Linked DNA regions of Daphnia pulex. The protein of the gene in region 2 binds, or shares a complex with, the protein of the main gene of each other region. Links are inferred from orthologs where the notes say so. Each region holds a gene or a part of one and is shown on either strand. Other genes may lie near its edges.

What was found.
Region 1: GATOR complex protein Iml1-like (region 2) and GATOR complex protein WDR24-like share a complex: the UniProt entries of both Drosophila melanogaster proteins name them as parts of the GATOR complex. The link is inferred for Daphnia pulex from reciprocal best matches to the Drosophila melanogaster genes Iml1 and Wdr24.

Annotation. Positions count from the first base shown.
Region 1 is NC_060022.1:5,701,308-5,705,262, forward strand, and holds the start of GATOR complex protein WDR24-like, read right to left. Parts: upstream 2,801-3,955; 5' UTR 2,605-2,800; coding exon 2,514-2,604; intron 2,447-2,513; coding exon 2,330-2,446; intron 2,266-2,329; coding exon 2,150-2,265; intron 2,085-2,149; coding exon 1,978-2,084; intron 1,906-1,977; coding exon 1,689-1,905; intron 1,599-1,688; coding exon 1,350-1,598; intron 1,279-1,349; coding exon 1,133-1,278; intron 1,064-1,132; coding exon 499-1,063; intron 438-498; coding exon 1-437. Other genes in the region: tyrosine-protein phosphatase non-receptor type 4-like, read right to left, coding at 3,303-3,353, 3,421-3,651, 3,727-3,901. UniProt on the Drosophila melanogaster protein: An essential component of the GATOR subcomplex GATOR2 which functions as an activator of the amino acid-sensing branch of the mTORC1 signaling pathway.
Region 2 is NC_060021.1:10,273,209-10,277,416, reverse strand, and holds the start of GATOR complex protein Iml1-like, read right to left. Parts: upstream 2,801-4,208; 5' UTR 2,679-2,800; coding exon 2,636-2,678; intron 2,563-2,635; coding exon 2,425-2,562; intron 2,335-2,424; coding exon 2,102-2,334; intron 2,034-2,101; coding exon 1,809-2,033; intron 1,747-1,808; coding exon 1,492-1,746; intron 1,428-1,491; coding exon 1,232-1,427; intron 1,148-1,231; coding exon 914-1,147; intron 839-913; coding exon 717-838; intron 655-716; coding exon 513-654; intron 443-512; coding exon 35-442; intron 1-34. Other genes in the region: uncharacterized protein LOC124194533, read right to left, coding at 3,118-3,509, 3,647-3,926, 4,052-4,186. UniProt on the Drosophila melanogaster protein: An essential component of the GATOR subcomplex GATOR1 which functions as an inhibitor of the amino acid-sensing branch of the TORC1 signaling pathway.

The DNA of each region.
Region 1 (3,955 bases), on a different chromosome or scaffold from region 2:
GCTGTTTGGACATCACCGTCTTCGGCCATGTGATAAACCATCTCTACAGCGTTAGAAACGCCACTCCAGCAGGTCGTGCCGAGACTACTGGACGATCCAGGTAAACACAAAAGAGCCGACGTCGTGTCTTCTACCTCTACCATCTGAGCTTCAATACGAGTTCCAGCAAAGCAGCGACTGGGAAAGTGTTCCGGAGGTGGAGACCGATCTTTGATTTCGTGACGAAGCTGAAAGGCTTCACTAGGTAAAATCCAATCCATCTGATTCGACTGTTGCTGTTGTTGCTGCTGCTGCTGGTCAGTATCTCCACTAATTTTCCTGCCTTGCACAGAGTCTGAAGTTCCATTAAAGTCATTTAACACATCGGCTTCGGCATCCCCGAAGAAAAAATCGCTCGTATTAAAGTGAGAACCGCTCGCAATATGTGACAGCATGACCTAATCAAATGATAGAATTTATTTTTTAAATGCAACGACTGTCACCCATATATCCTTTTACCTGAGAATCAATGTCTTCCACCTCGGATTCGGCTTCTTCGCTGACACCTCCAGAAGTGTCCGAGACTCCGCGTTCGTTACTGTTGGACGTTGGGGCGCTATTACTGTTATTAGATCCACTTCCATTTACCAAAGTCTCAGACTGTTGTGTTGCCTGCTGATTGGGAAATGAGACATTTCCGGACTGGTGTCTCGTGCTGGGTCGAGTTGAAGCGTCTTTGATACCGGAATCACCTGGCTCTGATTCTTCTTTGCTGACGGTTGTCGGTCGATTGGAACCGACTGACGTCACCGCGGAAGTTGAAGTCAATTCCAAACCGGAAAAGCCAAAAAGAAGTTTGACAACTCGCCATATCGTGGCGATTTGAATCCGACCAGCGTTTGATGCCACGACTGCATTATGATCACAAATTTCACCCAAAGATTTTCCCGTCGTTGTCTGCAGCCAGTAATGTCGTGCGCAATCCCGAAACACTTGCGCAGGTGTGGGTTTCTCGTTCTCAAAAACGTAAATAGAACACCGGACGGCCGGATAGTCTTCAGACTCAGACTTAGATTTTCTGGGTCTAACAAAACAGTTTAACAAATTAAATAGTCTATTTTAATGGAAAATATAATTTAAAAAAAAAACTCACAGTGTCAGAATTTTACTCTTTTTGGAGTTCTTATCAACTGCTGCCAATGTCAAACTTCCTTTAGAATTATAAGTGACACAAATGGGATTGGCCTTTTCCATTGGCCTTTCAGCATCAGCAATAACGTGTTGGATGAGATAAGAGTCCTAAGTAAATTTTGATTAAACAAATCAGATAAGATTTTAAAAAATTAATTCAACATTTTCATATAACAGACTTTGCTAGTTGAAAGTAGAACGTCCGGAGAACCTCTCCAAGCAATACCAGTTGTGATGTCTTTATGATCGTTAAAAGAAGCGTGCGGGATATAAGGCCGACGAACGTCCCACACGTGGATCACACTGTCGATAACAAGTGCACAGCTGGCGATATGATGCATCCTTTGAGGGCGCCATTTAATACGGCCCACTGAAGCCATTGTTGTTACCGTGTATTCCAACACTGGTCGGTAACCCAAATCCCAAACCTATTAATGGTATAATGCTGAATCATTCGTTCGTCATCTGGCTGAGGAAAAAAATTAAAATATAAACGCGTAAAATTTCCAAAAACAGACCTTGACGGCTTTGTCTCTACCGGCTGTGGCGAGCCACGATTTGTTTTCAGGATGCCAATCGCAAGCGAAAACGGGTCCACTGTGTGCTGTAAACTGTTTCTCAGATCGGTCTTGGCGCCGGAGATCCCACAACTGAACGGTTCCGTTCTCTGACACAGCGGCGAAACTAAAACACTGGTATGGATTAAACTGCACATCTCGTACACTCTCTGCGTTGCTAAAATTTCGAGAATGCATACAATGTTAGTTAAATAGATCCAAGTTTTAATAACATTTCAGTTTGTTTTACCTGACAAATGTCATGACTGCAGCTTTCATTCTGATATCAAAATACTTCATAGTCCCATCCTGACTTCCTGAAAGTAACATGTTCTGTTCTGAGCCATGAAAAGTCACCTACATTCTCCCCCAATAAAAGCATTTTCAAACAAAATGAGGCAACTAAAAATTTAAGATAATACCTTGTTAACTGTCCTTTTATGATCATTATAAACTGTTTCCTGTTTGAGCTTAATAGATTTCTGAATGTTCCATAAGACAACAGCTCCATTAGTGGCAGCAGTGGCCAGCCATTGCTCTACACAAATTTAGTTAAATAGACATGTTAAATCATGTAACTTAAAATCAGTGAAGAAGTTTACCATCAACTGGATTCCAAGAGGCATCATTGCAAGAAAAATTTAGATTGGAATTCTTTCCTGTTCGGATATTGTCTCTTTCAACAAAACCTGTGTCTTTGATTTCACAAACCTTGAAAACTAAAATTTAAAATATGAAAATGTGAGCAGAACTAAATTTTCGATGTTTTAATATTATTAGCATTACCATTTCTGCCGGTAACAACAACTTTATTGCAGTCTCGATTGAGGGCAAGAGTATTAATCGGGCCCTCTTGCATCAATGTCATGTGATGCATCGCAATGATCACAACAGCCCTAGGTTTTCCCTGGGCAGCTTAAATAAGTATCAACGGATTTTGAAACTAAAGGAAATGATAAAGTTGGGGACAATACTCGATAGGACAAAGGGTATAGAATTCAAAGGAAATGATTCACACCAAAACATCAACAAAGACAATAATCTCACAGTCGTCTGCTGATTCACACAGTTGCAACATTTTACCATAACCAAAGCAACGAATTTTCCCTTGCGACGTTGCGAATTGCAAATTTGCGATTCCAATTAAAAGCACAAAAGCAGAATGAGAAAAGTTTTTTGTGTTGAAAAGTCGGCAAACATAGAATAAAAAAACGAAATGTATTTTGTTCGATTGGGAACACAAAATGGTGGAAGATCTAGCACTTGTAGCTATAAAATGTGAGTTTCTTTTTCAAATAATCCATTGGCAAATATGCGATGGAAGCAAAATGAGTTAGTTAATTTTTTGGTAGCAGTGAACAAAGCTATTTGGGTTAGAATGTATAAAAATGAAAATATCTTTGGATTGAGTTGCCTCGTGCTGAGATTCAGCCAAATCCATCAATTGATGAATAGATGGTAGATGCCGCTCTTCTTGACTAGTGCCTTCTTTTTTTTAAACTTAGTTTCCCAGTCATTTTGGGATTCCTATAGACTGAATAATAATTTCCCGGTAGACACGTAATTCAACCTTATTCAACCTTGCAAACTCTCGATGATGCACTCGCAAACGTACTGGAACTGAATCTAGAAATAATAATTTTTATAACAACAAAATATGATAGTAAGCTTTAAACGGGAAGACATTATTTACTGAAGTTTGCAGCATCATAGGTCTCTGATCCCGCATCATCTTTATCAAATGGATAGGATTGATGGGGCAATCGGTTTCCATGAGCCGTAAAACAGAATCTAGCAGGATAAACGCTCCCGTACGTCCGATTCCGGCCGAACAGTGTACCAACACCACGTTCTCTTCTTCATTATTGCCAAGTTTCTGAATGTGACGGACGTATTCTAGAAATTGAGAAGCTAAAACGGGAGCCTAATAAAATAATTGATGTTATTAATAGTTATTAAATTATTAATAGTATAAATTGATAGTTGATGAATTAAATACCCCGTGATCAGGCCATTCCAGATACTGACAATGCGAGATGGCTCGCATTTCTCCCGTCTGCTCATCGGCTACAAGGAATTCACGGTGAATAAACGGACCCAAATGGTCCAGCTTTGCTTGGCAATTAATTACCAATGATCCCACTCGAACGATTTCATCCACTTCTGGCCAATAACTTTGAAAAGAAAACTTCTTTTAGAAACAAGTTATAATTATAATGATAGAGAAT
Region 2 (4,208 bases):
AGCATTCATTTAATTCAAAGCAACACAAATATACCTTTAGGGAAAATGTGTGTCCATCTTCTTCGATTGGATGTTAACTTAATTGTTACTCTGCTCGGATCGAATGGATTAATTAAAGCACGTCCAGTTTTGATTTGACGTGTACTGGGATCGAAAGTAACAGTAGACGGGTTGGCGCCTATCGTCACTGTGTTGCTTCCGAGAGCGCTTGGTGATCCAGCGCTGCCTACTACAGCTCTAAGAGTGTTGGACCTGCGATCTTCTAATCGCTCCTCACCCCCACTAGGTCTTCGAACACGTGGATGAGGTGCAGTTGCACCACATGACGCAATAAAACTGTCGTCGACAGCTGGTCTTTTTGGAATGGTAACTGAGGGTGATTTTGTGAGTGAACAGCTGAGCATAGTGGGCGCACTGATCAATGAGCTGCTGAGTCCATCACCTATTAAATAAAAAATTTGCACCTATGTTTTTACAGAATTTAACATGGAAATTAGAAAAATTTCATATACCAGGGTGACCCGTGGTAAAAGAAATGTCCATATCATGAAGACGAGATCTTCTAGCGTTTCCTCGGCTCCGATCAAACCGATTCACCTCTGAGGATATAGCGGTGGTTTTGCGATGACGAGTTTCTCGCATCAAAGTTTGAACCTGCACATAACAGAACATTTGTATCCGATTATTTTCCCAAGAGACATAACGTATTCAAATACCTTGCTAGTGCGGGTTACTGGAAGCGCAAACACTTTTGCGTCATAGGCATCATAGTCAAAGACAGAGTTCGGTAAACTACTTTCAACTTTAATGGAACTGCTAGTTTTAGACGAGAGTAATCCTAAATACAAACGATAAAGTTTTATTAAAGTAAAATTTCGACTCTTATTCAATAATAGTGTTTGAATTACTGTACCTGCAGTTTTGCTCTTGTGAAGAGTTGTCTCTTTATTTAAAATGGGAGCCATCTTAATGCGGGGAAGAAATGTAGAATAACCAATCCGCTTGCTGGAAGAATAGAAGCTGAGATTGATCCAATGAGGCATACTAAAGTCATTTGAGGCAGCGCTATGTCTTTTATTGTGAAATTGCAATAAGGGAACTGCATGTAAAGGCTGTTCACCAACACAAACCAGATCACTCCCCACACCTGTTTGTAACACATATTTAATTGAAACCATGCTCGATAAGAAAGTATTTAGTAAAAAAAATAAAAACAGTTGAAATTTTTTACCGTTGTCTATGATCCTTTGCTTCGTAATGTTTGTCAACTCTCGATCTACTTCAAAGACGCCAACTCCAGGTGTGATGACTACGGAAAGCTGGCCAGTGCGGTCAAAGCTTCTATCCAAGTAGTGCTTCTCAAAAACATTTAGAGACATGTTAAGCACCTCGAGAAAGTTTCCTTGGGCTGCACATGAATTAACACCCTATTTACAAACAAGGAAAATGTTAGAACTCTTGTCATGATTCACAAATAATGAAGAAAAATACTTTAGGTATGTTCATGTCAGGGTGGTTTTGTTGATGGTAACCCAACACAGAGTTCTGCCAGTTATGAAAGAGTAATTTGAGTTGCGGCAGCACACACGCCCAGTCTTCCATTCGTTCGCTTTGAACAGCTACACGGTAAAAGTCTTCATAGAACATACCACGGTAATCTTGCTGCAAGCACGCTCGCACAGTTTCTGGGAAGTATTCCAAAGATTCTGTCTCGTAAAATATTCGAGAAAATAAAACAATTGTGACCTGGAAATGAGATTAGAGGTTTAATGAATTTAATGCTAAAGATTTATCATAACCGATGCCACCTCATGATTAGATCCATGGCGTTTCCACTTGGCGAATAATTCCGATAAGAAGCCGTTAACAGCTTTTTCAAAATACAGATCACCGTATATGTCAAAATCCCACATTTCTGAGCTCATTTGTAAGAAGAGATACACCTGACTTGTTGATGAACGAAATACAATTTTTGTATCCTCTGTAATCACACCACATGCCACTCTTTCTCCTTGTCCCCACATTTCATGAACCTTATTTGAAAAACAAACAATTTACAAATAAACAAATTTAATACTCATTACTGATTACACTTCCTCACCTGACATCGAACTGACTTGTTGCAAAACTCCAATTTCTTCCCAATGTACAAACAAGAGCCAATAAGGCAATTTTTCAACCTCCACATGTCACTACGTCCTAGATACTGATCCTTGAAGGTTAACTCTACAGAATCTAGAGCAGCTGAGGCTGGATCCATCACAGTCACATGGACTCCAAAAAATATTTGAAGTTGGAACATACTTACTATTGACTGTTCAATGCTGATTGTGTCTAAATGTTAACACATTTTTATAATTAAGAGATGAACCAGTAGCATTCAAACATAGTATTCATTAAAAATCACAAACATAATAGGCCTACCTTTTGTTTGCATTTCTTCTTTTAAAGAATGTACTTGAAGTAGAACTCTGGAGCCAACAACATCAGGGTGGTATATTTCTACTACATCTCTCACTTTCACGTGTGGGAAATCTTTTGAGCTCAAAATTATTTCTTCCTCTACAAAACATCACGAGAATATAAGTAGGCTAAGCATCATCATTCGCAGAATAAAGACATACAAATATCTCACCACTAAAATGTTTCTGATGAGCAATCAGTTTAAAAGTTTTCATTTTGAAGCTCTTGACAGGATATTCGAGCCTCTTCTATCGTCACGAGATGAAAGACTAGACTACTGCAGCGCAAATATATGCAGCTGATGTTGCCGTGATTGCCCTGTTCAGCCGTCTGCTGATCTGTTGATCAACAATCGTTAAGGTCATCTAGCGACAAAAATTGTAGCTACGTCAAAAACGAAATTTGAAAGCGGTAATTTTCAGGAATATGAATTAAGAATTAACTCTGAACTAAAAAAGAAGCTGTAGAAAATATGGTAAATAATGTTAGAAAATAAAACACAACAACTGACGGCTAAATCTATGTGTGTATGGTTAAATTGTAAATTCAATCAAATATTATTACAGCAACATAATTTACCAGCAATAAGTTACTTGTTCTTTAAACACGCCTGTTAACAAATAAATCGTTAGCCATGACAACAACTATCCTGAATCAATAATTGTGAGAGAATGATTTGAAACTGTTACTGCAAGATTGCTTATAGGAATAAAGTTGCCATAAGAAGTAAGGATTGTACATCACTTGAGGCTCAACATAAGGTTCAATGTGTGCCACTGGAGTTGACGGAGGTGAATAGGCTCTTCCATCAGGTGGAGGTGTGAGGACAGGAGGGCTCCAGTAATCTGAATCTCGCACGCACTTCGGGGTTGTCGGGCGTGCAACGTGGACGTTGGATTCGGCAAGCCGACGAGGTTCTGTTGTTTGTTTGCGTTTGTTCGTTAGCTGAACGGGTGATGATTGTTGTACCGATGAGGGTGTTCGGCTCATTATTGAACTTTGCTTCGATACAGTTTTTTTGGATGATCTGATGACGTCTTCATTGCCTTATCAAATAATTAAAAATATTAATAATTTCAAAAAATTCATGGGCGAATCATGGAGAACGGGAAAATTTTTTAAATTAATATCATAATATTACTAAAATCAACACAAAATAAAGGCAAAAGTTTTAAATAATTACTTGTTAGTAGCAACTGTTTGAGAACGGATCCGTTATGATTCGTACTTTCAACCTCTATTGGAAGCGATAATGATGTGTCGCGAATAGGCGTGGAAATCGGACGTGATCGCATTTTACTTGGGTAGAGGGTTTTTTCGACAAAGGACTGACTTTCAAGGAGGAATGCTATGGTAGTAGACGAGACGCTGTTCGAATTGTGATGGTGATTTTCAAGTTCCGATAGCAACTGGAAAGAAGTACCACGACTGCAGATTCTAACACTACAGAAACGAACAGCGCACTAGTAAAAAAAAGTAAAAAAAAAATAAAATAAAATAAAATAAAATAATATAGAAATAAAATAGTTTAATATTGAAAATAAATAAAATCGTGAATAATAACAACTTATGAAGAAAAACGAACAACCTTCCAGTATTCGATGTCGCAGTCGTTTTCTTTTTTCGTACAGGAATGATGAAATAACAGAAAATTTTGATCCTGCCTTTGCAAAATGTAGCGGCTCTGGTCAGGTAGTTTTATCACTTGCGTGAATGACACCATGCCGAACAAAATGCTAAGTTAA